Linked DNA regions of Rhinolophus ferrumequinum. The protein of the gene in region 1 interacts with the protein of each later gene in a biochemical or structural test. Links are inferred from orthologs where the notes say so. Each region holds a gene or a part of one and is shown in the gene's direction. Other genes may lie near its edges.

Region 1 (6,906 bases):
CCTCCATTTTTTTAAAACAAGGCTAATAAACAGTTCCTTAAAAATCTATTAAGTACAACCATCCAATAGAAAATGCATAAAGGACATGAATTCCCAGAAAAGAACTGCAAATACCTTTAAATTTATGAAGGGATGTTTAAGTTCACTCCCAGGAAGAAAATGCAAATTATAATTACACAGGATTGGCAAACATCCAAAGGCACTTTCCTGCTGGAGGCAATGTGAAATGGTACAACTATTGCGGCCCCCACTGTCCCCCCCTACTTTCTCCACATGCTTTTGCTCAAGCTATTCCCTCCCACTGGAATGCCTTTCCCTCTCACTTGGGAAAGTCCAAATCCTGCCTCAATTACTCCCACTGATCCATTTGAAGCCAATCAATTCTTCAAAGAAGGACTTGGCCACACACATGGCTTCAGTTGTCACCCCTAATGGTCTTCATATCTCCAGCCCAGATTTCCCTCCAGCCCCTGAATTTCAGACCTGGTCCCCAACTGTTCACCCAACGGACACATACCAGACCTTGGATGTCTAACAGACATCTCAAATGTAACATCTAAAAACAAACTCCTGATCTTGCTCCACACCTGCTCCTAATGGAGTAGTTCCCTTGTCAGCTGATGACAACTCCATCCTTCCAGCTGCTCAGACTAAAAACCCGGGGGTCAGCCAAGACTCTCTGTATCTCCCTGTATCTGACCCCTTCGCAAATCCTGGCATCTTTACCTTCAAAATCAATCCAAGATCTAATCCTTCCTCACCACTTCACCACTTCCACTTTTACCACCTTGGTCTGATCCTCTCTCATCACTTCCTTGACTCTTGCAGTAGCCTTTACACTGAGTTTTCTGCTTCTCCCTTTCCCCTTACAGTTTGTTCTCTCACCACACAGAGCAGCCAGATTGTTTATTCTAAAATATAATTTATAGGGGGCCGGCCCCGGTGGCTCGGGCAGTTGGAGCTCCGTGCTCCTAACTCTGAAGGCTGCTGGTTCGATTCCCATATAGGCCAGGGTGCCCTCAACCACAAGGTTGCCAGTTCGACTCCTCGACTCCTGCAAGGATGGTGGGCTGCACCCCCTGCAACTAACAACAGCAACTGGACCTGGAACTGAGCTGTACCCTCCACAACGAAGACTGAAGGGATGGCAACTTGACTTGGAAAAAGTCCTGGAAGTACACACTGTTCACCAATAAAATCCTGTTAAAAAAATAAATAAAATATAATCTAATTTATATAATGTGACTCTCCTGCTTAAAATCTTTTTATGGCTCCTATGGATCTTAGAATAAAAAACATTTCAGCCTGGCTTGCAATGCCCTATTTGACATGGCCTAGGATCTCATCTCACAGCACTCTCCCTCCCTCACTGCTTTCCAGCTACAAAGACTTCCACGCACTTCCTCAAACATGCTAAGAACTTCCAAGCTCAAGGCTTTGCACTGGATGTCTCCTCTATCCGGAATGCTTTTCCCCATGTTCCTTGTGGTTCACTTCCTCACTTTTCACATGCCACCTCTGAGAGGCATTCCCTGACTACTTTACATGGGGTATGTCGTGCGGGAGACCCTGCTCGCTGCACCATTTGTCGTGTGAGGTGGCCTGCGGGGTCTCTAGACCCGCTCCCCACATAAGAACGCAGGACATGGTGAGGCCAAAAAGGAACACCCATGGAGCCATAGATAGGGGAGTCATACCGCTATAGTCTCACTGGAGGCTGGATCCACACGACCTGCAACCTGCTGTCCGCTTTTCTGCCTGCCAACCGACTGACTCAACTCACCAATGCAGCCGTGGCAGTTATATCAGTGGCTAATTGGCTAACTGGTTACAGCTGACGGCCAATTAGCCACAGCTGACGGCCATCTACTACCCAAGCCAGCACCTTTCTACGTGACACCGAGAGCCTGGAAACTGCTCTCTGGGACTCTGTCCCCACAGGTATTAGGGCAGGTCTCTCTGAGATGAGGCAAACGATAAATAAGGAAAAGATCTGATGGAAGAGAGGTCTTGACTATTGCAAGGGCAGTCTCCTTGTTATGTTCTCTGCAGTGTCCCCAGTGCTCTGCACTTAGTAAGTGTCATGGAGGGTCTCAGCTCCCACTCCCCACACAAGAATGCAGGATACGGTGAGGCCAAAAAGGAACAACAGAGCCACAGATAAGGGAGTCACATCACTATATTCTCGATGGCAGCTGGTCGAGACACAAAAGCAAACATCTGCCAGTACCCCAAGGGGGTCTTCCTGCACCCCAGTCTCAATGGCAGCCAAGTGAGATGCAGGAAGTAGGACCCACACGATCTGCAATCCTCTTATCCACCACGCTTGCTAACCCCACTTGCCAGCCTCAATCCGCCGTCCGCTTCTCTGCCAACCAACCAACCCCTCTTGCTAGCGTAGCCAAGGCAGTTATATTAGTAGCTAATGGCTAACTGGTTACAGCTGATGACCAACTAGTCACAGCTGATGGCCATCTATTACCTGAGCCAGCATCTTTCCATATGAGGTCGAGAGCCTTCTGCTCTCTGGGACTCTGTCCCCACAGTAGGCATTCAATAAATCTTTTTCAAATGAACAAATTTGGAGGTTGTTGACAAGATATGAGGTACAGAATTTGGGATAAGATGTTAAAGGCATTTTGTGTTAAACACCTTCGCTCAAACATCTTCTCAGCGAGGCCTTCTGTGGGGACAGAGCCAGGAGTGCAGTTTCCAGGCTCTCGGCCTCACGTGGAAAGGTGCTGGCTCAGGTAGTAAATGGCCATCAACTGTGATTGGATGGCCATCAGCTGTGGCTAGTTGGCCGTCAGCTGTAACCAGTGAGCCATTGGCCACTAATATAACTGCCGTGGCTACGCTAGCAGAAAAATAGGGCCTAGCAAGAAGATGGTGGCTGAGCTACCAAGCGGCGGAGTGTGGATTGCGGATTGCAGAGGCGGATTGCAGCTAGCAAATGGGGAGTCGGTCGGTTGGCAGAAAAGCGCACGTCGTGTGAATCCAGCCTCCAGTGAGACTATAGTGGTATGACTCCCCTATCTATGGCTCCGTGGGTTTTCCTTTCTGGCCTCACCGGGTCCTGTGTTCATATGTGGGGAGCGGGACCAGAGACTCCGCATGACACCCCGCGTGACATCTTCCTTGACCCCACTGTCCCCCAAATTTCTGCTTACCTTGTTCTATTTTTCTCCATAGCATTTAGGAATTATATATACAACACACATTTGCATATATATTTAGTTATATATTCACATGCAAATATAGAATATACACGATGTATTAAATGTAAGACATTTATTATATACAGATGTAAATTATTTACATATTGACACTAGCTATCATGTTATGTAAACTATGTAGTATTTATATGTACATTGTATTACATAATATATATTATATAGTCACATGTATCTATTTTAATACATATTTATATGCGAAGCTATAATTTTTACTTATGTGTTATGTTTATGGTCTGTCTCTCTTGCTAGAATGTCAGCTCCGTGAAGGCAAGAAAGCATCCCCAGCGCCTGACCTACCGCTTGAGCTCCATAAATGTCAAATGAATGAACTCCTTTGGCCATCTGAGCCTCAGCCTTCCCATCTGGAGGATGGGTGTGTCTTTCCATTTGGAGGTACCCCAGTGTTCCGCTCCCTTTTCTCACTCCCAGAGCACCGCTCCCGGAATTCCACAGCCCAGGTTTACATTTTCCCATACCCTGGCCGCTGATGCCCACCACGTGCACCAGCCGGGGGCCAGATCGGACTACCACCCCCAGCATGCCTCGCGCTTTCAGGAAGGACCACAACCCGTAGGGGTGTCTGGGTCTGACACGTTCTGCCGAAGGCGCGGGAGCAGGGGCGGGCGCCCCTCTAGCTAAGCGTTTGTGGTACGTCCCAAACCGGGGCCCTCCAAGTCCCCGCGCTTCCGAGCTCCGCGCAAACTCTGGCTCTTCTTGTGCGACGGAGGTGGTTTGCTCTTCCGTTGCCCCGTGGCTTCGGCTCATCTCCAGCAGGAAGGCGAGGCTTCCGCCCGGCGCAGGGGGTGAGCTGGAGCACGGTGCCCCCCAAGCCCCTGGACAGAATTTGAGGGAGGGGGCTCAGTTTCGGGGATCCCCCAATGGGCATATTTGGAGGCTCTGGGCCCGGGATGGCTTTTAGGGGTGGCTGTTTTTGAGGGACCCTTAGGAAGTGGCTTTTGGGGACTCCGGGGAGGGATGTGGGAATCTGTTGTAGGAAATATCCCTTGGAGACAAGGTTTATATACCCCTCGGAGACAGGGTTTAGGGGGATGTTTGGGGAGACCCTTATGGTCCATGAATGAGTACTCTGTCCATGAGGCAGGATTTGGGGTGCTTCCCAAGGGGAGAGGCGAAGTTTGAGGTCCCTGAAGTCAAGGCGGAATTTTGAGAGGGCTTGTTTTCAGGAGAGGTCCTGACCACGGTAGGAACGTTCAGGACCGACGTGGCATTGTGAAGGTATCTGTGGCCTTTGTGACCTCTGCTTATATGATGCGGTTCCCCCCCCCCCCGTGCTTGATTACTCGGGGCGGGGAGACTGGACCGGTCAGAGCCCACAAGTTGTTAGGAGAGGAGCCCCCAGCCCAGGCTGTGGAAGGGACGCCGGAGCACAGCTTGCTACGCGCTTCCCGAGGGTACTGGGTGCCACCCGGCCTTCGTTGGCCGCGGCTTTCTTCATTATTCATGAGGAGGTGGGGCTATGAGGAAGCCCATTTTTTTGCCTCTTTCGCACCTGGTCCGCTGGAAGTATCGGCTTGTGAATTATTCACGATGGGGCGGATCAGCGTGCTGAAGGGGCGTTCTACAGTTTGCCGGGCAAACTAGACCTCATTGATTAATCGTAAAGGTGAGTAGCACCCAAGTTGTCAGTGGCTTCTCTAGGGGCGTTGTGCATAATTCATGAGGGGCGTAGCTTTTATGGATTCATCTGCATGATACACTGTTAGCTTTGCCTTGTAGGCTCCAGGGTTTAAACCTCGTGCATGGTTCATTTCTTAAAGCTCAGTAATCTCAGATTATCAACAAAGGATCTAGATTCAAATCGTCTTCTTTCCAAGCCGTGTGATCTTTGTCAAATCTTTCCGTGAGCCTGAAAAGTGGGCATGGGCATGATGACGATCAGATTAATTTACACTAATTTAGCACTTTATTAGCACATTTAATCCCCACAACAATCCTAGGAGGTAAGTTGTTATTATCCTATTTTATAGATGAGGAAACTGGGACACCGGGAGGGTAAGTAATTTGCCTACTCCCAGTCAGTGAGTGGCCGAGCCTGCATTCAAACCTAGCCAGTCTAGTTCCAGAGTCTGTACCCCCTAATTTAATGGTACTACCACTGTTAGTTAAATAGAACTATGTGCCAGGCACGGTTCTAAGCCCTTTCTACATATTTATTCATTTAAAATCCATCATCAGGTAGGTTACTATTCTCATTTTATGGGTGGGGAAGCAGTGGCCCAGAGAAGTGAAATGTCTGGCCCCAGGTCACAGCGCTAGTCATCGGTAGGTGGAAGTGATTTTTGTGAGGGTTTAAGAACTCTCTAAGGAGGTCACCTTTGAGCTGAGACCCGAAGGACAAGAAGAAGGACAAGAAGAAATCGATTTCCTGCTCTGCATTCCTGAGATCAGTGGCACAATGCCGGGAAAGGAGACACCACATCTGTTAATGGGATCTATTATTATTCGACAGAAATGTATTCGGTGCTTGGGGTTCATCTGGCAGTCAGTCCTACCTATTTAATGGATATTGGTGGCCTGAGCTTTCTGTTTTCCAGTGTCCTTCTGGGAGGGTGTTTGAAGGCATTATTTTTTAAATAATGCCCCAAGTTGGGGGGCTTCTCTAGTGGTTGCGAATACGCTCACACACAACTAATTTTATATTAATATATTTACATATTACCTTTATAGTAATATACACATATATATATTTTAAAATTTAACAGTGCCCTGTGCCAGCACTACACTGAGCTCATCCATAATTCATATTCTCTGATTTTGATAATATATTGCCTTATGAGGTAGATGGGTTCTCTTGCTATCCCCATTTTACAGTCATGGAAATTGAGGCACTTGCCAGAGGCATGTAGTGCGTCTGGATTTGGTTGGAACAAGGCAGCCCTATTTCACGTGCAGTTAGTCAGGGGTGGGGAGGCGGCTGCTACACTTCCCCTGGGTTTCCGCCATGGCTCTGCAGCATCGGCTTTTATTATTCATGTACAGGAAGGCTTGCCCATGTTGCCAGGGCTGGATTACCCTAATCCCTACTTGCTGGGAGGGCTGTCCATCCAGTCTCATGCATAATTCATAATGAGTGGGTGGGACCTTTCTTGACCTCTCTGAGTTTCCAGGTTGAGCTGCTGCAACATTGTTACTCATTATTCATGAACCGGGTAGGGTATTTTTTCTGTAGTAGCCCTATTTCCCAGGTTACAGAGTATTAGATGCTGTAATAGGTGGGCCTGCCCCTTTTGTTCCAGCCCACGGGGCCTCATGCATTATTCATAAGAGATGTAGCCTTGGTCTCCTTGGCTTCCGGGCTGCTGCAAGATCATTCATTATTCATGACAGTGGGGCGTGGCTTCCATGTTGGCTTTCTGGTCGCAGAGTGTTGGTCAACCAACCACCTGGGCATATACATAATTCATGATCAGGAAGTGTGGGCTTGAGGTCCCTTCTTGGTTTCCATGGCAGCCTGGCTGCAGCAATATATTCATTATTCACGTTCCTCTGCTTTCCTGGTTTTCCTAGTTAGTGCCATAGTAGCCACCAGGTGGAGCTATTCCTCTTCAAATGAGTCCCTGACATGCGGGGATCAACATTCATGATTCATGAATGGGCGCGGTCTGCCTGCATCCGGGTTCCTGGGGGTAGGGCCCAAGGTTTTGTTCCG
Region 2 (7,782 bases), on another chromosome or scaffold:
TGTCCTCGCAGGTGACCGCTGCACTTCTCTTTCTCATCACTGTGAAGCCTTCACTTCCACCCCAGGGCCAGCATCCCATGGCCATGGTTTCCTCCAAGACCCCATTGACGTCAGCCCTGAAGCCCATGGCTTTTTCTTGGTCCTGATCTTTCTGGTCCTTTCCGCCAATAATGCGACACACGGGTCATCATCTGCTCCAATGCATCGTTTCCCATTAAACTGCCAACGTGAGCCTCTTCGGGTCCCTTCAGTAGTCCAAATGGTCTTCCCTTGCCTGTCACTCAGTGGTCATAGCCACACCCATGGATGGCTTCACCACCCTTCCACCATCACTCCACGTCGCTGATGCACAATGATATGTCCTTTGCTCTGACTTCCCTTATGCCCTCCAGACACAAGTTCTCTGGGGTCCCATCAACACCTCAAATTCCTCTTTCTCTGTTTGTGTCCATAGCATACTCTCTCCCAGCCACCTACTCTGGAAATTGTAAAATGTTACAGGAAACAGAATGACATCTCTCTCTCTCCCTCCATCTCGGTATCGACTCTGAGATCTAGCAGGTTCTACCTCAGACATATCCCTAGGACCAGTGTAGTCTTTCCCATTCCCGCGGTCCCCTCTGTCACTTCAGCGTTTCTCGCTGCTGGCATGGACCAGACCTCAGAGCAGGATGTGACTCGCCCCATTGAATCAACGGCGTGCCCCATCTGGACTCTGGGGTTCTTGCCTCTTGGTGGCCACTTACAGTTTGAAACTCACTGTAATCCCCTTTGTACACTAATGCCAGATTAATCTTCTGAAAAGGGATGATCTCACTGAATGAAACTGGTCCTTGGCATGGTATCTCAGGGCTCCAAAATCAGGTCTCCAGCATCTCAGCTTCATCATCTTCTTGGTGTACCCTTGAATGCTCTATGAATATGGCCATACTTTTTTTTTGTATTGGAAACATTTTTATCTTCAGCCTAAGGCTCTCCCAACTGAGCTATTTCAGCAACTCTTATTGGAAACATTTTAAATTTTTTTTTTTTTTGGAAATAGTGATCTATTAGTTCTATGGAAATTGGAACCGTGGTCTTTTTTTTTTCAATTACAGTTGACACTCAATATTACTTTATTTTAGTTTTAGGTGTACAGCATAGTGGTTAGACATTTATATAAGTTACAAAGTGATCCCTCCATTAGTCTAGGACCCCCCTGGCACCATACATAGTTATTACAATATTATTTACTATATTCCCTGTGCTGTACTTTACATCCCTGTGACTATTTTTATAACTGCCGATTTGTACTTCTTCCCCTTTTTCACCCAGTTCCCCAACCCTCCTCCCCTCTGGCAACTATCAATTTGTTCTTTGTGTCTCTGAGTCTGTTTCTGTTTTGTTTGCTCGTTTATTCTGTTCTTTAGATTCCACATATAAGTGAGATCATACGGTATTTGTCTTTCTGAGTCTGACTTACTTCACTTAGCATAATATCCTCTAGGTCCATCCATGTTGTTGCAGATAGTAAGATGTACCACAATTCTTTATCCAATCATCCATTGAGGGGCATTTGGGTTGTTTCCATATCTTGGCTATTGTGAATAGCGCTGCTGTAAACATAGGGGTGTATATATCTTTTCAAATTAATGTTTTGGATTTCTTTGGATGAATACCCAGAAATGGAATTGCGGCTCATAAGGTAGTTCTGTTTTTAATTTTTTGAGGAACCTCCGTACTGTTTTCCACAGTGACTGCACCAATCTGCAATCCCACCAACAGTGCACGAGGGTTCCCTTGTCTCCACATCCTCGCCAGCACTTGTTATTTGTTGATTTATTGATGAGCCATTCTGACAGGAGGGAGGTGGAATCTCATTGTGATTTTTGGCCATCTGTATGTCCTCTTTAGAGAAATGCCTCTTCATGTCCTCTGCCCATTTTTCAATTGGATTGTTCGGAATTTTTTTTTTTGGTATTGAGTTGTGTAAGTTCTTTATAAATTTTGGATATTAACCCCTAATCAAATGTATCATTGGCAAATATCTTTTCTCACTCAGTAGGTTGTATTTTTGTTTTGTTGAGTTTCCTTTGCTGTGCAATAACTTTTTAGTTTGAAGTAGTCCCATTTGTTTACTTTTTCTTTGGTTTCCCTTGAGCGAGGAGATATGTCAGAAAAGAATATCACTAAGAGAAATGTCAGAGACTTTACTGTTTATATTTTCTTTGAGGAGTTTTACGGTTTCTGGTTTTACATTTAAGTCTTTAATCCATTTTGAGTTTATGCCTATAGGTGGCATCAGAAGGTGGTCCAGTTTCAGTGTTTTGTGTGTATTTCCCAGTTTTCCCAGAGCCACTTATTGAATAGACTGTCTTTACCCCAATGTATATTCTTGCCTCCTTTGTCATAGATTAAATGACCATATAGGTGTAGGTTCATTTCTGGGCTCTCCATTCTAACCCATTGATCTATGTGTCTGTTTTTATGCCATGCTGTTTTTATTACTATAACCTTAAAGTATAGTTTGATATCAGGTAGCATGATATCTTTCAAGATTGCTGTGGCTATTCGAGCTCTTTTGTGGTTCCATATAAATTTCAGAATTATTTGTTCTACTTCTGAAAAAATGTGAACATGGCCATACTTTTGTGATGGTAATTTCTGGAATTAATTTCTTCTTCTCCTGACAGGTAGTAATTCAGTAGTTTGACCCTCTTATCACATGTGATATGATGTGTCTGTAGCAGGCGTTATGGTTGACTCCCAACGTCCATTCCATCCCAGGTGATGGGAGTCCAGTAAGTGGTCCCATCCATTTACCTGTGATGGGTTTAGAGATGGGCATGTGACACATTTCTGGTTAGTGTCACAGAGGGGAAGTCAGTTGGGCAGATTCTTAGAAAGGTGCCCATATCTTGGAAGGAGACATGGAGGAAATAGTCCTTTCTGACTCTGGATGTCATCATGTCTGGATATGACCCACAAGAATTGCTACAGCCACCTTGCTGTCATCCTGAAAAAGGAGGTGGAAGGAATCTGGGCTCTTGATGACGTTACTGCAGCTCTAATCAGCCGAGCCTGGAGCCTGCCCTGGACTTCCTATCATGTGAAGTAATCCGTTTCCTATTGTCCAAGCCCTGTAAGTCACAGTTTTCTGTTATTTGCAACCTAAAGAACCAGGAAACATTGTTTTGTTTCCAGTGTTAGACTTCAAGCTTCTTGAATTCAGGGGCTCTATCTATTTATTGCTCTAGCCCTCTTAGGGCTTGGCACACAGCAGATGCTCAAAAATGATTGTGAAATTAATATTTATATATATTTCTGAGGTCTAACTAGTGAAAGCATTTGCAATTTATAAAGCTCTTTATTTTTTCCTAGCAATTTAGAAATTAAAAAAATGAAGCGTAGATAGATCAAATCACTTGTTCAGGGCACTTTATCTCTCAGTCATACTGAATTCTGAACAAGTTCTTGCCCTTTGTCTCAAATTCTTGTCTGTGACTTCTGTGCCTGTTAGGGTCCCGAGAGTAGTGGGGACTGGTGACAAAAGAAAGCAGCAAACCGCGGCTGTGCTTAGGCGCCCAGTGACACCAGGGCAGTATCCCAGCTGTTTTCGGCTCAGAGCTCAGGACTGGAATCCCTTCCCCTCCCAGTCCCGGTTGCTGGCGGCATTTCTTGTGTCAGGGCCATGAATCTCCATCAGTACACTTTATATGCTGAGGTGTTTTCCTGGGAAAATGGATGATAGCTTTCATGAGATTCTCAAAGGGGTCTGTGAGAATGGCTACGGAGCACAAGATCATGATACAACATCTCAGAAGTAAATAAAAACGTTTAAAATGTTCCTCATTTAGTGGACTCAGTGACAGTGGATCCTCATTCTGTCAGCTAAAAGACCAGGAGACCAGAGCCCCTCGGTGCATCATGAAGTGGAGGGCTAGGGACCTGGAGTCAGGACCAGTGTAAAAGGACAATGCTGAGCCACTTGTTGAAAAATGAGGCATTTCAAAATGGTACAGCAGAGCATTAAACCCAGCAGAAAGCCTTGTCAGCTGGGCCCTGCCTCTGGCACTCGGTCCTAAACACACTTTAACTGGTGCCCAGTAGTGTCGTCCTCCTTTGCCCTGCTGGGCATCCTTCGCCCGATTTTGGAGCACCTGGAATGTGCCAGGGGTTGTGTTAATGTTGGGGGTCCCATAGCAGCGTCCATGCAGTCATATTGGGTGTCATATAGTAAAGGTCTTGGGGATCTGGGCCGGAATAAGACTTTCGTGTTGGGCAGAGACAGTGGGCAAAGAAATAGGAAAAATATCGGACAGCGATAGGTGCAGAGGAAACAGTGGACACTGGGTGAGTGGGTGGCTGTCTTGGATGGCGGGGTCGGGGAGGCCGGGTCTGAGATGACATCTGAGTTGGGACTTGACTGGAACCTGGCAACCCTGCCTCCGTGGGCGCGGACGGGGTTACGACCCGCTGGAAGCCGGGCCAGAGGCTCAGGCGGTTGAGAGGAAATGAACGCAGAGTGAATGAACAGAGGCCGCGGACAAGGGCAAGTGGGACATGACGGGGCCCAGTCGTCGCCTTCGGTAGACGGCGCGCGTGCGAGCGAGGAGGGGGCGTCGGCCAGGGCCCGCAGGCAGCCGGCGGCCGATACCGCTAAGGGGTCCGGGCGGCGCGCCGACGTGGCGGAGGCGGGAGCCGCGGGCGCGAGCGCCGGGCGCGCGCGCGTGCCTGGCGGGAGCGCGCGGGCGGGCGCGCGAGGGGGCGGGGCGCGCCGGGGGGCGGGGCGGGGCGGGCAGCCCTCTCCTGGCGGCGGGAGGCGGGCGGGGTCGCGGTTGCCCTTTTAAGCCGCGGGCCGCCGCCTTCAGCCGGCCGAGTCGGTTACAAAGGCCGTCGCCGCCCGCCTGCCCGGCTGCCCTCCCGCCGTCCCTGCGCCCCAAGGCCCCGGCGCCCGGCCTCGCCATCTTCCGGCCGTGACGGCGGCGCGGGCCCGGCTCCCTGCCGCCGGAGATGAGGCCAGGATGTCGGTGTCGGGGCTCAAAGCCGAGCTGAAGTTCCTGGCGTCCATCTTCCACAAGAACCACGAGCGGTTCCGCATCGTCAGCTGGAAGCTGGACGAGCTGCACTGCCAGTTCCTGGCGCGGCCGCCCGGCAGCCCGGCCCCGGCGCCGCCGCTCACGCTGCACTGCAACATCACGGTGAGGCGGGGCCCGGCCGTGGCCGGAACCGGGGCCGGGGCCGGGCTGGGACAAAGACGCCAGGCCGCCGCCGCGCGAGGCTCGGGGGCCGGCGGCGCCGCCTCGGCGTCCCCGGGCTGGGCCGCTGCCCCCTCGCGGCCGGGTCGCCGCCGGGGTGAGGGAGGTGACGGGAGGCGAAGGGACGGGGACGGCGGCCGCGCTGAGGCGCGCGGGCGGCGCGGAAGGGGACCGACCCTCGGCAGTCCGTCAGGCCGCGCGCTGTCCCGCAGCACTTTAAGTTGACACCGAACCGGACGGTGTGAGGGGCTGCGGCGCGCCCGGTGCCGCAGGTGCAGGGCCTGCAGGTGAGGACAGGCTGCCGCCCACAACGTGCGCTCCTGTCCCCGAGCCAGAAGGACCCCGTGCGCTCAGTCTTCCCGGAGCAGAGCGGCTCGGAGACCCGGGCTCGGAGGGGTGGCTGAGGCGGGAAGTTGGGGCCCCTCTGTGGCCGGTGCGCGCTGCAGACTGCTCCTGGCTGCAGCGGGGTTGGTGGTGGCTTCCGTGCCTGTGACGCCGGGCCAGGGTCCCTGCCTCCCTCCCGTGAAGTCGGCGAACACTGAGGGATGCCACCTGGGGGAGCAGACGTGTGTTCCCCAGGACGTGAGTCGGGCGCTGTCCTGAGCAGAGACCCGGTCCCCGAGCCCCTCAGGCTCCCAGACCGTTTGCAGGGTGGGGCGGGAGCCCCTGCTCCCAGAGCTCCGCTGGGCGGGGTGGGGGAACCCGCCAACACGACGAGCTGGGACCCCGCTCTGTGTGTCACTGGGAAAGCCAGAGACAGCACCCCGTTTTGATTTTGCTGGGCTGGCGGCACCTCGGAGAAGGCTCTGAGGCGGCGGGCAGTGCAGGTGAGGAGACTTCGTGAGGCACCAAAAGGGCGGTTCAGGCTGAGGACTCTGGCAGAAAAGACCCCGCCGCTGGGAAAACGTGCTTTGCTGGGCAGGAGAGCAGTTGCAGTGACCTGAGAAGCCCAGGATTTGGCAGGTGCAGGTTTTCTCAGCAGGAGACTGGCCCAGTGGTGACTATTCTCATGGAAGTTGGGGACAGCCCCCAAAAGGTAGGGCTGGTTGCAGTGACAGGAGACTGAACTTGTAGGCTGTGGGGACCACCAAGTTACTCAGCTCACTTGGGAAAATATTTGCCATCCAGGACTAGAGTGGTTCTCTACAGTGGGTGGCATTAGGAAATGTGAAGCGCGTCGCTGTCCCCATGGGGGTGACATGCTGGTGCTGCTGTGCTGGCATTTAGTACCGGGGGAGCGGGATGCTAGATGTCCTGTACGATCAGGCGGTCCACCACCACAGAGTCGTGCCACCTCAGATGCCAGCAGTGCCCCGTGGAGAACCTTACTGGAGGCTGCTAGGATTCTGCGTCTGCCCGCAAAGATCCTGCGTGGCGACCTGGGTTAGGAAATGCAGTGAGTGCAGTAGGCGCCCAATGGATGCAGCGTTGGTGGGAACTAGTCTAACGGAACTACTAACGCACTGTTCGAACTGAGCTGCCACTGCGTCATGATACCCGGCAGAAGGTGGTTGTCGTGCACGTACCTGCTCCGCGTACTTGGACGGGCATACACGTCAAATCGTGTGGAGAACTTCCACGCACCCAGCCTCAACAGTGATAAACCTTTGGCCAATCCTATTTCATCTGCACCCTCCTTTGGTTATTTTGAAGTAGATTCCAGACATATCACTTCATCTGTACACTTTTCAGTGTGTATCTCAAAGATGAAGCCTCTTTAAGCAGAGAGGAGTGTTGTGTTAAAATGACTTGCTCATGTTGATACCATTTTCTTAGAGGGGAAAGAGCAAGGAAAAAGTGGGGTGGGATTTCAACTGTCAGGACCTGTCTGCTGTGTTTGTGATTTGCTTTTCTCTAAAAGTTACAGCTCTTTAAAAATAATAATAATGAGTTTGATCTGTTCTTTAACATTCCTCTTACACCAGGTGTTTATTAAGCTCTCCATGCCAGGCCCTGTCTTCTCCATGTTTACCAAGAAGCATCCTTATGCATTTGCTGTAGTGTTTGAGTGATGCATGCTAATTCCTGATAATCTTCTAAAGACCCTGTGCGCCTGTCCTTTCGGGCTTCTGCTTTAGCAGTTTGTCCCATGGGGCACGTCTTTCAGTGTCTGACTGTCTCTCAAGGCTCTTCTGGTCATCTTCAGGTCAGGCTGATATTTATTTCCTCTTCATCCCTTCCATAAGTCCTTTCTATTTACTGCTTTGGTTATGTTTTCTTGTGTTCTATTATAATAGTTTTGGATGCTTGTCTTTTTTCAAGTCTTTTTTTTTTTAATGGTGGCAGGGGAGAATATTCTATAATTATGCTTTTCATCCTCCACTCAGTAAATGCTGAGTAAATATTTGTTCCATTCACTATATGGTCACCATTCTAGCTATATTCTATTTGAACAAAAATCTTATCTATTGTGTAAGTTCACTGCCAAGAGTTGGTCAAACGTGCAGAGGTGACAACAAGATAGTGATGTCGATAGTGCATAAATAAAAGGTCATTGAGGGCTTGATAGGAAATCTATAATTTAACGTCAGCTTCTTATGAAAGA
Region 3 (7,503 bases), on another chromosome or scaffold:
TCCATGGCACACTTAGCTTTTGTAAGCGCCTGCCCTCCCCACCCTGTCTGTAAGTGTTGGTCCAGCGTGTCGCAGGCTTCAGTCGCAGGTGGAGGCCGAGGTTCAAGCTGTGTTCTTGTCCTTCGCCAGCCCAACAGCCCGACGGCATCGTAGTCCAGAGCCAGACTCTGTTGGAGTGTCTGGTCCTTCAGAGTCCCCATCAGTCTGAGTAGCTATGTGCAGGCGACGTGCTACCACCTTCTTGAGGGACTCTGCTGCTGCTAAGACAGTGGTTGGCTCTGTGAGGATTCCTCGGGGGCTTGCACTGTGGGGGCTAGAAAGCTCTCCTCCCGCCTGTCACTCTGGCTCCCGCCCACGTGGTGTCTGGGGCACCCGCCAGCCCAGACGGTACTTCTCTGCATTTCTGAGAACATTTCTGGGAAACATTACTGCCCGGTTGGTCTCTGTACAAACTGGTAGCAGCTTCCTTCAGTTTCGTGAATAGACAGTCATCAGGTAGACATCTGTGCCCGTGCTGTCAGAAAGCGAAGGTGGGGAGCTTTTGCCCCATGTAGGGCCTGGTCATGACAGGGAGGGGCCGGGCGGGGGGGCAGCAGTGGCCCCTCCCAGCGGGTCCTTTGCTCATTGGCTTTGCTTTGGAACCCGCAGGCACCGCCCACTGCCCTGGTTATGAAGAGGCCCCGCTCACTGGATGTTCCTTATTGGAATCTTTGTCTAATTTTCAGGAAGAATTTGAGATACTTGTTCATTTTTTAATGAGGCTTAGTTTTCCTTGCTATCAGTTAAAGTCGGCTTTGAATATTCTTTTGTGAATTTCGTTAGGGGAAGCTTGGAGAGTAAGTGGCTTATAGGAAATTCTGGACAAAGCCTTTTCCCTGCTTGTGACCCGGGGAGGAGGCCACGGAGCATAGGTGTGATCGGGCAGTGTTGACCAGTGCGGGGGGTGGTGTGCATTAGTGAGGGGGACTGCAGTGGGCACGGTGTTCAGAGCAGTGTCCGTACCTCTGATGGAGTGACAACTAACAGCTTCCCCCTCTCTTGCTGTGCCTGTCCCGTCGACCCTGCCAGCTGGAGATGGAGGACGAAGACACCATTGACGTGTTCCAGCAGCAGACGGGAGGCTCCTGGAAGACTGGCTGCTGCGCAGGATGCGGCCTCTAGAGGGACCGGCCCCACTTTGTCACCGTCCTTGTTTGCTGTTGAATAGTGAATACGTGACCATGCGAATCACAAAGGAGTCTGCGGAAACCGAGGACCTCCACCAAAATTCCTTTCCTCTGCGACGTCCCGCGGGTGCAACTCAGAACTGTCTGCAGGGACACACCCTCGCCTAATACCTGGCCAGGCAGTTGTCATTTTGTTTAGGAAAATGAGCGTGAGTTTTTTGGGTTTGTTTTTGCTCTCATTTTTGTTTCCCCCCCACCTCCTATGACATTTCCCCAAGCTTGTGGCCTGAAGGTCCACTGTTAGTCTAGACGGGGATCTTTTCCCAGGTATTGACCCCCCCACCCCGCCACTGCTTATTCCAGTCACATAGAGGGCTCACGTCACTGCAGTGGGGGTGCTTCTGTGGGACAAGTCGGGGGGCATGGTGGGGGTGGGAGACAAACTTCCACTTAACTATTTCTTGTAGGCACAGGTTTTTTTAAATGCCAAATGTTACAAATTTAAGTTTTGTGAGAATATGGTAGAGTTGAAGGGAGAATATTGGAATGTTTTCTAAAAGGTAAAAAGGAAAATAAGTGAGTCCCTCAGTAACATGGCCCTGGGTGCTCTGTTCCACCAGAGTCCCCTCGGGTGAGGGTGGGTGCAGTGGCCGTGACACTGCATGGGCGAAGCCTGGCACAGCGAAATGGGCTTTTCCCCTTTTACTACAGAGGAAAGCAGTCCCCACATTTCTCACTTGGTGATAGTACGCTCAGATTTCTTCTGGTATTTGCTTCTGATGAATAATTATGGTCTTGATATAAAAAAGTACGATTAAGTATTGCTGAATTTGCAGTGACGTTTTGTGTAAAAGCTGTTTCCAAGTGTGGTCACACGGCCTGTGCAGAGACAACTTCCTGTCCCTCTCGAGGGCTGTGCTCTGCTGCTTCCCAAACCGTAGCTGTGACTTCAGTCTGTGAAACGTTTGGGGATCTGTACCTGTTAAAACTTTTAGTTCCCCTCCTCCCTCTGTACGGACCCACTGCTGCCTGGTGGCCCTGCTCTGCCTCGTTCTGTCACCTGGACAGTGCGACCATGACTGTCATCTCTTGCTTGCCCGGAATCTTGCCTTTCCTTTGTGTTTTGCTGTTGGGGTGTGGGTGGGGTGTCTGCTGGCCATGTTAATTCACCAGTTTGTACATTCTTTGTTGTCCTTTACTACTGTAAACAGTAAATATAGTTTGGTATTCTGTCTCTTGTATTAAATACTGCATTTGGAGGTTGGGGCTGACTGTCACAATTCAGCATTTGTAGTGACCATTCAGCGAGGCCACCCAGACTTCCATTTAAAGGCTAGTTGCTGAAAAGTAAGTATCCACCTGCTGCACCCCTCCCCACACCCCTGCTGGGCTGGGGCCGAGGGGGCCATCCTGTCTCCTCCCGAAGCTCTTCCGTGACAGGTGAGCCAAACGGGCATTGGGATGCATTGGGATGCATTGTGATGGACTTTTCCTCTCCTGGGTGTCTCCTCGGTGTCTCGTGAAGAGAGGGTGGGTTTTATTTATTTATTTATTTTTAATTTTACCGGGGAATATTGGGGAACAGTGTGTTTCTCCAGGGCCCATCAGCTCCAAGTAGTTGTGCTTCAATTAGTTGTGGAGGGCGCAGCTCAGCTCCGAGTCCAGTTGCTGTTTTCAATCTCTAGTTGCAGGGGGTGCAGCCCACCATCCCATGTGGGAATGGAACCCGCAACCCTGTTCAGAGCTCGCGCTCCTGTGCTCTAACCAACTGAGCCATCCGGTCGCCCCAGAGGGTGGGTTTTGGAGGCAGTGGATCTGGACATCAGGCTGGGTGGCTCACGTTGTTGGGTACTTGACTGTCAGACTTCTATTTTCCTCTGTGCGGTTGACAAGCTACTCTTTGAAATTGAGTGAACTGATGCTAAGTTGACAGAGGACTTCCAGTGGACTCTGCTGTGACAAAACCAGGGGTGAAAGGGAGTGAGCTGTTTTAGTCCATCAGGTGAGGGTCAAGAGTAGCTGGGAAAAAGTGCGCTCTAGCCAGGCTTACACCAGCAAAAGGAGGTGGGCTGAAGCACATTACAGGGGTGAGTCATTTGCAGGTGCCCTGGAAAAGCTGGGGGCGGGTACATCTCACAGAGGGGCCCCTGCATTTGTGCCTTCAGTGGAGTGAGCAGTGCTGAGCTGCAGGTGCGACAGTGCAGTGCTGCCTGAAGTCCCCCACACCTGACCGGAGAAGGAAGCTGTCCTTGAGGTTGTCTTTTCTCTTAAAATTTATGCAAATGGTGCATTTGGAATAACAGCTCTCAGTATTAATATTTTAAAAATGGTAAGTTACACATCTAAATCCCAAGATCTTTGGGTTAAATTCATGCTTCAGGAGGAGATAGCTGTATTTATCCTGTTAACTGGTTTCCAGATCCCAGCTGGCACTGCCCCATGTCAGCACTGAAAACCCCACCGTCGTCCTGCATAAACTTACAGGTGGCGAAGCATATTAATGCTCCACCTTAAAACACGGGTTCAGCCGTGACATACTTTTTATATTTCAGAACTTTAATTGCCAAAATACAAAAGACTAATTTTTTTCTAACTTGCTGGCCTCCCCAAGGTGCGATGCTTAGGGAGCCATGAGACATCACCTGTTACTCAGAACCCTGTCATCCTCGGCAGGCAGCGGGCTGGCTGCGGCTCGGGTCTCCAGTGGGGGCCAAGTCTTGGGCACCCCGAGTCCCGGCTGGGCCGCGATGACGCGGAATAACGCCACCACCGTCACCAACCTTCTCTTTCCAAACCTAACCCCTGTCCCCTGTCGGGAGGTAGTCGGGGCATCGATGTGTGGATGTCTTCGGAGCCGGTCTCCTTCGCCCCTGGGCCTGGCGTCAGTAACCTGCCCCTAGGGCAGGGGTGCCGGCGAGCGCGCCCGCCCGTCGCGCCCACGTGCAGTGGCCGCTTCAGCGACTGCAGCCGCCTCCTTCTCTACCCCTCCTCCTGGGGTCTCTAAAAAACACCCCACCAGAATGACGTCTGCCCAGCCCGCAGTCCATCGCCCAGCCACCGGTCCCGTCCTCCATCGGACCCTCCTGCGGCCAGTGTGACGGGACAGTGTGCGCCTGTCGCCCAGGATCTTCTGGGGAAACCAGGGCCCCGCAGGTATAAGGGCCGCCGGAAGCGGCGTTGACCCCACAAAGCGGCTGAGGGGCCGGGCGTCACCCCCGCTCACCCGACCTCGGGGCCACAGCGGCCCCGCCGCGCCCCCGACAGCGCCCGCCCGCCGGCCCGCCACTGCGCACGCGCGCGCCGCGCCCCGGAAGGGCTTCTGCGTCCGGCCGGCGACCCGGAAGCAACCCGGGCTTCGGGCGGGAGGATACGAGCGCTTCGGAGGCAAGGCCGGACCGCACAGCTGTTACCCCGACGATGGCGGGGACGGCGCTCAAGAGGCTGATGGCCGAGTACAAACGTGAGTTCCGGGCCGGCGCGGAGCCCTGGGCGGCGCCGTGCCTCCTCCCGGCCCCTCGTGCCGCCCTGGCTCGGCCTCCCTGGCCCCGGCCCCGGCCCTGGGCCCCCGTCCCCGGCCGCTGCTCCGAGAGGCCCTGGGCGCGCGGGCCGGGGGCGCTGCGGGCCGCCTCTGGGCGGTGTGCGGGCCCCGGGGTCGGACTCCTCGCCGCACGGAGCGTGCCCCTTTGTGCACGGGAGGAGCGAGCGCGTCTTGTGGCGGTAACTTGGGAGCCGCAGGGTCTCCGGGCTGCGCCTCCTCTCCCGGTGTCGGTACGTGGTGCGGAGAGCGCTCGGGAGGGGCGAGGCCACGTTCCTGCCGCCTTGGTTTAGAAATGCGTCAGGAGTGACGTCCAGTGTCCGTTTGTTCCTTAGTTCTGGCTTTGGCCCTTTCGGTAATGGAGAGAACTCCCTGCTTCCAGCGTGCGGGGAGGGGGCAGCGAAGCCGAAAGTGCCCGCGAGAACTTAAAGGGCCGGTTTAGGGGAGAAGCGCGTTGTGGTGAGTTCGCGGTGAAAGGTCGCGTTCTGGTTTTCTCGCCTAAGGAGCGGAGCGTTTGGACGGTGCCACCCCCGTCCTCCTAGGCAGTGCTCAGCAAAGCGCCTTAGTGCTTCCCGAGCCGTCCCTCTGTCCAGCCCGCGGAATGCTCCCGGGACAGTTGCCGTGACCCGCCCGGGGGTGCCATTCTGAGCTGGGGGCCCGAGTGGCAGCCCGCTCCTGGGTGACAGCAGGGCCTGCGTGTGCTTCCCGGCTCTCCCACCTTGGCTCGCCCCTTCGCCTCTGCGCGTCCCTCACCTGGAGACGCGAACGCCTCACGACAGACCTCATAGGTAGCTCTTGATCATGTTCGATGTTGTTGTTGTAGTTACATTGCACGTACCTTCGGAAGAAAGTTGAAAATAATGACTTAATGAAAATAATTGATACATATGCATGCAGCTCAGTTTCCTAAACCATGTTGGTGGCACTGCGTGGGGAGAGGTGATTAGCAAACTGTCGCAGATGCAGGCGCAATAAAATAATTTGGACAATACTCTCCACGTTGGGCCCTCTGGAGTAGGAACAGATGCTTCCGGGAGACTTGAGAGTGAGGGGACACGGGGGTGAGGTGGGGGCTGTGGCCTCTGTCTCCTGGGAGTCCTTCGGTTCCCTGCCACCCTGCTCTGTGCTTCTGTGTCTGGCTTAGTCTGTTTGGCCTTGTTTCTAGACCACGAGTGAGTATTATCTTTCTTGTTTCTGTGGAGAAGGAATCTGTTAAGCCCCTTCACGGGAATGAAGTTCCGGCTGCTGCTTCAGTCCAGTCGTTGTTTTGTTGAACTTGTATTTCCTCAGGATATTTGCATTGGCCAGGGCGATTTTTCTCTTCACTCAAAGCTTCATCCATTATTTCAACCATGTTGTCAGTTTGCAGTAATGGAATGTATATAATATTTGACTTTCAAAGCTGTATCACAGAAGTGTATTATGTGTGCGTGTTAATATGTGGCACGTGGGAGCCTGTGCCGGCAGAAGTGTACACATGTCCCGAGATCCCTGTCCCCGCTTACGCAGTGGGACACCAGCCTAGGCTCTGCTGAGAGGGGACTTTGCAGCTGTAACTGGCTTACTAACGACCTGACTTTAAGACAGGACGATTATCGTGGATTATCAGGGTGCAACCCAGTAATCGCACGAGGCCCCAACACAGAAGGGGAAGGCAGGAGAGGAGAGGCGGGAGAGGAGGTCCTGAGGAGGGGAACTGGGAAGAGGGGCCAGGAGCTCAGGAAGGTGGAACCTGAGAATGAATGGTCCCTGGCCGAGCAGCCAGGAACCTGGACCTCATCCTACAGCCGTGGGAACCAAATTCCCCAACACCCGGAATGGGTTTGGGGGGCCGCCCTGCCAACACCTTGACTGCTGCCTTGTGAGACTAAGCAGAGAACCTTCCTGCCCAGCCTCTGACACAGGAAGCGCGTCGTGGGGGGTTGCTGTAAGCCACTGAGTGTGTGGTGAGTTGTCCTGTGAGCGATAGGAAGTGAAGTCTGTTGTTGAGGGGTGTTGTTGTTGCTGTGTCTTAGTAACGTGGTCATGTTCCACTGACTGATTCTTGTCTTTTGTGTCTTAGCGTCTAGTTCGTCCTCCTACCAGTCTGCAAGGTGGCACACCCACACAATCAGCTGCCCTGTGGCAGGGGCTTAGATAGGCTTGGCCAGGGTCAGGGCCAGGCGTGCTGTCCGTCCGTCACCGTCGCAGGAGTGCAGTCGACCTTGGCTATGATTCTGCCCAGGCCCCCGCTTTTACAGGAAGTTGAACACTGGAGAGGCAAAATGATTTGCTTCGGTTCTTAACACGAGAAAAGGAGCCAGGTAAAGAACGCAGTGTTTTAAACGGATGCCTTGTTTAGATGTTTGTCTTCACTCCTCCCCTGGCCTTTCCCAGGACGGCAGAGGTAGACTTGGGTTTGAGTGTCCGGGGCTGCCCTAACAAAGTGCACCAGGGGGTGTCTTAACACGACAGACACGTGTTCTCTCACAGTTCTGGGGCCGGAAGTCCCACATCAAGGTGTCAGGAGGGCCGCTCTCCCTCTGAAGGCCCTGGGGAAAGGCCCTTCTCGCCTTTCTGGCTTCCGGTGGCTGCCACCATCCTTGGCATTCCTTGGCTTGTGGTGGTGTCACTCCGGTCTCTGCCTCTGTCTTCACGTGGCATCTTCCCTCCTATAAAAGTGCCGGTCAGTGAATTAGGGCCACCCTAGTCCAGTGTGACCTCATTGGAACTTGAGTTCGTCATCAGGCCCCCATTTCCAGATGAGGTCACTGTCACAGATTCTGGCGGACATTAATGAACCCAGTGCAGTAGGAACCCCAA
Region 4 (7,007 bases), about 49 Mb from region 1:
TCCCAGAGGATCCAGTGGAGAATCCATTCTTTGTCTCTTCCAGTTTCTAGAGGCTGCCCACATCCCTTGGTTCCTCAGCTGGTGGCTGTATCACTCCAATCTCTGCTACCACCATCACATGGCCTTCTCCCTGAATTCGGACTCTTCCTTCCCTCTCATTTAATTCTAGATAACCTCCCCATCTCAAAATTCTTAATTTAACCACATCTGCAAAGTTTCTTTTGCTATATAAGGTAACATATTCACAGGTCCCAGAGATTAGGACATGGAGGTCTTGGGTTGGGGGGCATTATTCAGCCTTTTTTCCTCTTGATTCAACTATTCAGCAGGTAGTGAAATCCTATGTTCACACCTTAATTTCCCCATTTCTCTAAGCTTCACTATTTCTCTCTCCTCTCCTTCTTTTCCTTCCCTTCTCTCTTTTTCTCTTTCCTTCCCCCTCTCTCTCCTCTTTCTCTCCCTTCCTGTCCTTATGTCCTAGGAGCTATATAGATGGACAGCATACTACTACTTTTATTGCCAAAAGCACACACTGTGATAACTGTTCTTTCCTATGTGATCCTCTTGACTTGTCTCCTGAGATTATTTGAGTCAAGAAAAACCTATTTTCTGTTGTTTCTTGGTTGTCATTTGTGCTAAATTTTATCAATAGAAGTGGAAACTATAGGAAAATAAAATTCCTTTCCTTGACTGGCTAACAGAAATAAAAACTCACAGCCTCATGAGGCAGGAAATGATCGTTTATCTGGTCTCTCCTTCCAACCCAAAATAGTTCAGGAAAATCACAATCTATTCCACATTTTGAAATCCCACAATTTCCCTAGTCATATATTCCCATATTTCCTCCCTTTTAGGAAAATTCTCAAATCTTCGCCTACTGACAATTTGGAATTTTTTATCTTCCCTGCAGCTGCATTGCTAACACAGTTTAAGCTAAAAAGAACTTCCAGTTTCTTGACCCCTGCTCTTGGGGAAGAGGGGATGCTTGGCCGTGAAGATGTTATTTGTTTAAGATGTCAAGTTGAGAAGGGGCTGGAAGGACTGCTTGGCCAACTCTGCTATAGTTACTATGTTCTAGTCTGATAAATTGTCTGTGCTGGAGAACAATCTTCTGTGTTGCTGTTTGCTATGACAACCCTGCTTCTGATGAAGAATGTAGGAGCACAGTATTCCTGTAATGCAGTTCCACTGTGCAGTCAGGGTGCTCTCCCCATGCCCTGGTACCATGGGGCTTCCAAACTGCTTTGGTTCATGCTCCTGACTTTTCTTGATTAGATAGTCCCAAGAGGGAAGAGCAAAGGAGCTTCAGAAAACAGACAAGCCCGCAACAAATTGAAATGCATCTGTAGCATTTGATGACTCAGATATTTATATCCAGTGGCAAGAGCTTCCCAGTGTCTTTCCTACTCCCCTTCTCAGTAGGATGTTTTCAGCACATCTCTCTTAGGCTCAAACACTGACAAAAGCTACCTATCAAGCCTAAATTCCTCATCCTTGCATTTGAGGATATTTAATCAACTTCTGTCACCCTCACTTTTCCTAGTGGAGGTCTCATCATTCTCCATTAGCCACGTTAATCTGCCCACTATCCCCAGAACATGGTTTAGCTCCATGTCCTTGTTCATGCTGTTGCCCTCACAGAAACTGCTTGAGTTCTTCTCTCCCAAGCCCTGCTTCCATCTCTTTTGAAACAAAATTGAAATAGACCCATTCTAGGAAGCTTATTCTAACCCCACCAAATTGATGAGTCGCCTGCTGTACAGTACCTCAACATTTGCGGGTTCACATGCTTCTGCTATGTAGCTTGCTGCTGCTCTGGTAGGCAGAATTCTAAAATGCCATCCCCTCCCTCAAGATTCCTGGATACTGATGTACACACACCTTCTTCCAGTTATTCAAGCAGACACTAATCTAGGTTCTGCTGTGAGGGAATTTTGCAGATGTAATTAAGGTCCCAAATTACATGATTTTAAGACAGGACATTATCTGGGGTGGGCCTGATCTAATCAGATAAGCCCTTAGAACTGGGCACTTCCTGAAGAGATTCAAAGCATGAAAGGGATTTGATGGGAGAGAAATTCTCTGCTGCTGGCTTTGAAGATGGAATAGGCTACATGGCAAGGAATGTGGAAGATGTCCAGGAGCTGAGAATGGTCCCTGACTGGCAGCCAGTGAGGAAATGGGGACCTTAGTACTATAATTGGGAAGAACTGAACTTGGCCAACAACTTGTGATAGTTTGTTAAGCAGCAATAGAAAACAAATGCATCTGCTTTTGTAGATCTTGCTTTTGTTGATTTCATATGTGTGTATTTGTGCAAGCTCCTAAATGAGAGGAAAAGGTTTTTAAAACTTATTTCTGTACCGTCTTCCCACCACAGCTATAATGTGAGACTATTAGGGAGACTTACTTTAACTGATATGTTGAATTTAATGGGAGATATAAATCCTTGGCCATGAAGGTACGTGTTGTTAAGCAGCAGCTAGAATTACAACCAGTGTCAAGTGTCTCCTGCCTCCCATGTTACAAACAAATTTCTGCACCTCTGATGTCTTCTGGACATCTCTACATGGATGTCTCATCAGTCCTATGAACTCAGTAAGGCCCCAGATTTCCTCTCCTAAAACTGCCCCGTCCCTCTAGTTCTGTTACTGGCACCTTTAAACCTCCAGTTTGGCACCTTTAAACCTTACAGCTTAGAACTACAGCCATTGTCGACTCCTTCCTCTGTGTGACCCCCACATTTAATCTGTTGCCAAGTCCTCTCCATTCATCCCCTCATCTCCATTTTTATTGTCATTGCCTGATTCCATATCTCTCACCTAGAATAATTTCAGTCTCTCTCCTAGCTGCTCTCCTGGGACCAATGTCTGACTAGTACAGCCCTAATCATGTCACTTCTCTGCTCACCCACCTTCCAAGAAATCCATCAGCTTGGCATCCAAAATTCTCCAGGACTTAAGCGAAATCTACCTTTCTCATATTTTCAAAAATTCTTACATGAGCATTTTGCCTACCTTCTGAGTTATTTGGGGTTGACCTTAAAAATTATTCTTTAAAACTGTTATTGCTCTTGCAGGTCCGCATCTTGTGACTCTTCCCTGCCACCTCCACCTTTTTCACACACATCTTCCCGTTACTTTTACTTCAGATCCACTGCCCTTCCACTTCTCTGCAGTTGGACATTCTCAGACATTGGACCCTTCTGAATATATAGCAGCCTCTCAGCTTGTTGAACTGCCAAGGAGAAATGTGGTTCCAGAACCAAATTGTGAGTGTCCAGAGCTATAACCTCATTCTTGCTTAAACTCTCACTCTCTCCCTCAGGACACACACCACCATTTTATTCTGCTTTGGGGTGATCATGGGCCTAAATGTTGGGACTCGAATCTCGCACAGGAAAAGGGACCCACTGCCTCCTTTCATAGTTGAGGCCGATTTATTTTTTTGATTTTTCAGTGATTTTATAACAGGTCATACACAACCCGTCCCCAGTCTCCTGTGTACTCAGGGGATGTGCACCCTACAGTTCCCGCTTTTTGAGAACAGCTTTGCTTCAGCCCACTCCCCGCTTCTCTAGTTTGGGATGTCCATCCTTCTCCCCCAAGCCACAGGGCGCACTTTAAGTGATCTAGTCTTAAAAAAAAAAAAAAAGGAAAGAAAAAAAAGAAAGGAGGAGGAGGAGGAGGAGGAGGAGGAGCAGGAGGAGGAGGAGGAGGAGGAGGAGGAGGAGGAGGAGGAGGAGGAGGAGGAGGAGGAGGAGGAGGAGGAGATACAAAAAGAAAGCCGAGGAAAGCTTCCCAGGGTTCGTGCTAGATTTGGCAGGTGGGGATGGAGCCCATTCCACCACCCAATCCTGGGGAATTGGCCTCGCCGCCTGCCTCTCAGCCACCGTCGGGCTTCGGCGGGGGTTTAATGGCCTAAGCAGGTTTCCTTACCACCCCACCCTCCGCCCGTCTTGGTACCGTCTGTCCGGCGTTAGGCATTCCACCCCCCGTTCCTTCCAGGTTGGTTCAGCCCGGGTCTACTCCGGGGTGGTGCTTAGCCGGCGCCAGACCGACCCTCGACTTCTAAGGGGTAGTGCTGTGCCTCTAGGCGCTTCCTCCCCGGCTACTTCGGCTTCTCCAGCGTCCTCGGCCTCCTTACCCTCCGCGGGCACCCGAGAACTCGGTGTATGCTCCAGCCCTGACCCCGCTCGAGATATGTCTACCCCGGCTCGGCGGCGCCTCATGAGAGACTTCAAGAGGTAACTGACAGGGACCGCGGCGTCCAGGGCCGGCAGCGGGGCGCAGGGCGGGTCCCGAGGCGGGCCAGGGGAAGGGGGCTGCCCGGAGCGGTCGCGGCTGCCGGATCGTGGGGCCGCTGTCTGTTTCTCTGAAGGTTGCAGGAGGATCCTCCAGCCGGAGTCAGCGGGGCTCCGTCCGAGAACAACATAATGGTGTGGAACGCGGTCATTTTTGGGTGAGTCTCTGTTCCGGGCGGTGGCGAGAGATGGGGAACTCAAGGTGGCTCTGTCTGCCCTACGGGACCGGCCCCTGGCGAAGGCGGAGAGGGAAGGGGACAGTATTAGGGTCTGGCCGGGCCTAGGCTCCTCCCCGGAGCCTGTGCCTCGATTAGCTCAGTTCCCGCTGCCAGGGGAACCGTTTGGGGTTCTCAGGGGGGCGGGGCGGGGAGTGGTGGCGGTTAGAAGCGGCGGCCTGCACCAGGTTTCTGAGCCGGAAACATCTATTTGTGGTGGCTTTCCGACCCAGGAAACGGTGCTTTACCAGAGATGGAGTTGGCGGAGCTTGACAGAGCCTGGAATAGCCATCTCCTAAAATGAACCAGGGAGAAGGGAACCCCTTAAGCCGGAACTGACTGTTTTTCTCTCTGTTGCAGGCCCGAAGGGACCCCGTTTGAGGATGGTAAGAGAGTTTCTTTACCCACCTTTCAGGAGCCTGATCATCTGGTGAAAGGGTTCCTAGTCATCCTGGAAGTGCCTTCTACTTAGGAACCTGCTTCTCCCTAGCTTCTGCCTACTAAAGGCTTGAGTGGAATCTAGTATGTGGCAGGTTGTGGCAGTATGTGGCAAGCTATTGTCCGCTTGACTAGAACTGCAACTTTTGTCTTGCTTGCTTCTTTAAAAAAAAGTCTGGGTAAGGCAATCACTTTTTAAAAGGAGCATCATAGCACTGATATTAAGGACTTTTGAGGTCTGGGCTGTGATCCTGCCAAATTCAGCCCCCCTTCAAGATACTGAGTACATATCACCCCAACCACTTGCTGATAGACTCAGAGACCCCAGAGACCATCTAGTTAGAATTTGAGTGCCTCAATTAAGACTTTATGCTCAGTAATCTCAATCTTCAGTATTGACGGTAGCCTTAATGGACTTTCAGCTGGTGTCCACCCTACTTGAAGGGACTACATGTACTTACAGCCACATAATTTTTAATGGATTTTGGTTTGACTTTTAAAAACACATATTAATTGCTTTTTAAAAACTTTGTATTCCAGATAATTATAGATCCATTTGTAGTTGTAATAAATAGAGACTGTATGCCCTTCACCCACTTGCCCCATCCCCTCTTTTGGTAATATCTTGAATCACTATACTACAATATCACAATCAGGAAGTTGACATTGCTAGTTTTATGTGCACTCAATTGTGTGTGTAGTTGATTATTGAACATTTAATCCATTTAAAATATGATTAAAAATATTTGAACTACTGATTGACATCTTTAATATTGAGGTATTTAAAAAAAGAAAAGGATCTTTCTGTTGCTTTTTTTCTCACAATGATTTATCTTCCTTTGGTCATGTAGCATGTGTGTGTGTGTGTGTGTGTGTTTGTGTGTGTATATAATATATATATACATATATATGTGTGTTGTATATATATTTGTGTGTATACACACACACACGCACATAAGTCAGTTTGAAGGTGGGAACAAAAACATTTCTGCAAACTACGAAGTCATACTTATGTTGCCGAGTTGGATTGCTTTTTGATGCTACCAATTCACAAGATGTGAGGTAGGTCAATATCAACCAATTCTATAATTTGTCTCAAATGCTCAGATTTCCCTAGGAGACTGCAGACAGTCACCTGAATACTTTTAACTTCCTGTCTGCTTTCATCCCCTGGGTAAATATCACTGTTCTTCAGCGCTGCAATAAAAATAAGTGACAGCAGGAGAGAGGGATACTAAAGGCGCAGTACTTTGGTGCAGTAAATCATTTGAAATTATCCAAAGCAAGACTTAATTTTCCTCTGCTGGATTGGTGCTAGTTCTTCCTACCTAAACTTTATGTGCAGATTAACTGTATATTTGCTTTAGCTTTAGCAGGCTTTGTTTTCGTTGCCTTTTTTTTTTTTCCTCCTGATTTTGCTCAAACTGCTTTATGCTGGGCATAGCTTTATTAATAGTGTATCATTTTGCTGGAAGTTAGCTACTTAAATATTTCAAGGGTGCTTCTCTTGTTTTAAGTGGTATGAATTGAAAAGGTACTTATGGAATCCATTACCTACCTGGATCTTCCCTCCTGACATTACAGGCTCTGTTTTTAATGATGTGTATCTCCATCCTGGCATTACTGAAAGGAATTACTCAAGCTCAATGACAGTAGCCTTTTCTGATTCATTCTGTTGAGCAGTCTGCTATCCAAGGATGCTTCCTCAGGTGTCTAGACTGGGGCTAGGTGTCACTGACTGGGGCTACAAAAATATTTTGATGATTTGTTAATATCCGTCACTTACAGTTAGGGAATTTACTGGAAAAGACTGATTATGGACAAGTGGCATAGTTGATTTTGCTGTTTCCATGTATTACATAACTCAACAGCCTCAAAACTACTTTTGCTGTTTCCTTGTAAACCATTTGTAATAGAAGTTTCTGGAATAGCCAAGCTCTAGTTACAGAGATGAAATCTTAAGAAACAGAACTCTTAAAGGTATTTTGATTTAACTTCACACACTTGAAGTAAGAGGAAAATGTTCCCAAGAGCTTACACTACCAAACAAA

What was found.
Region 2: of the proteins of UBA1 (region 1) and UBE2Q2, one has a biochemical effect on the other in vitro, tested with the Homo sapiens proteins (3 studies listed by BioGRID). The link is inferred for Rhinolophus ferrumequinum from reciprocal best matches to the Homo sapiens genes UBA1 and UBE2Q2.
Region 3: of the proteins of UBA1 (region 1) and UBE2G2, one has a biochemical effect on the other in vitro, tested with the Homo sapiens proteins (5 studies listed by BioGRID, with this or other methods). The link is inferred for Rhinolophus ferrumequinum from reciprocal best matches to the Homo sapiens genes UBA1 and UBE2G2.
Region 4: of the proteins of UBA1 (region 1) and UBE2A, one has a biochemical effect on the other in vitro, tested with the Homo sapiens proteins (6 studies listed by BioGRID, with this or other methods). The link is inferred for Rhinolophus ferrumequinum from reciprocal best matches to the Homo sapiens genes UBA1 and UBE2A.

What each region holds. Positions count from the first base shown.
Region 1 is NC_046284.1:86,707,921-86,714,826, reverse strand, and holds the start of UBA1 (ubiquitin-like modifier-activating enzyme 1), read left to right. Parts: upstream 1-3,899; 5' UTR 3,900-4,039; intron 4,040-6,906. UniProt on the Homo sapiens protein: Catalyzes the first step in ubiquitin conjugation to mark cellular proteins for degradation through the ubiquitin-proteasome system.
Region 2 is NC_046311.1:492,299-500,080, reverse strand, and holds the start of UBE2Q2 (ubiquitin-conjugating enzyme E2 Q2), read left to right. Parts: upstream 1-4,775; 5' UTR 4,776-5,003; coding exon 5,004-5,180; intron 5,181-7,782.
Region 3 is NC_046285.1:107,865,911-107,873,413, reverse strand, and holds the start of UBE2G2 (ubiquitin-conjugating enzyme E2 G2), read left to right. Parts: upstream 1-4,502; 5' UTR 4,503-4,583; coding exon 4,584-4,626; intron 4,627-7,503. Other genes in the region: SUMO3 (small ubiquitin-related modifier 3), read left to right, coding at 1,069-1,161. UniProt on the Homo sapiens protein: Accepts ubiquitin from the E1 complex and catalyzes its covalent attachment to other proteins. In vitro catalyzes 'Lys-48'-linked polyubiquitination. Involved in endoplasmic reticulum-associated degradation (ERAD).
Region 4 is NC_046284.1:37,347,838-37,354,844, reverse strand, and holds the start of UBE2A (ubiquitin-conjugating enzyme E2 A), read left to right. Parts: upstream 1-3,999; 5' UTR 4,000-4,202; coding exon 4,203-4,246; intron 4,247-4,380; coding exon 4,381-4,461; intron 4,462-4,878; coding exon 4,879-4,904; intron 4,905-7,007. UniProt on the Homo sapiens protein: E2 ubiquitin-conjugating enzyme that accepts ubiquitin from the ubiquitin-activating enzyme E1 and transfers it to a E3 ubiquitin-protein ligase. In vitro catalyzes 'Lys-11', as well as 'Lys-48'-linked polyubiquitination.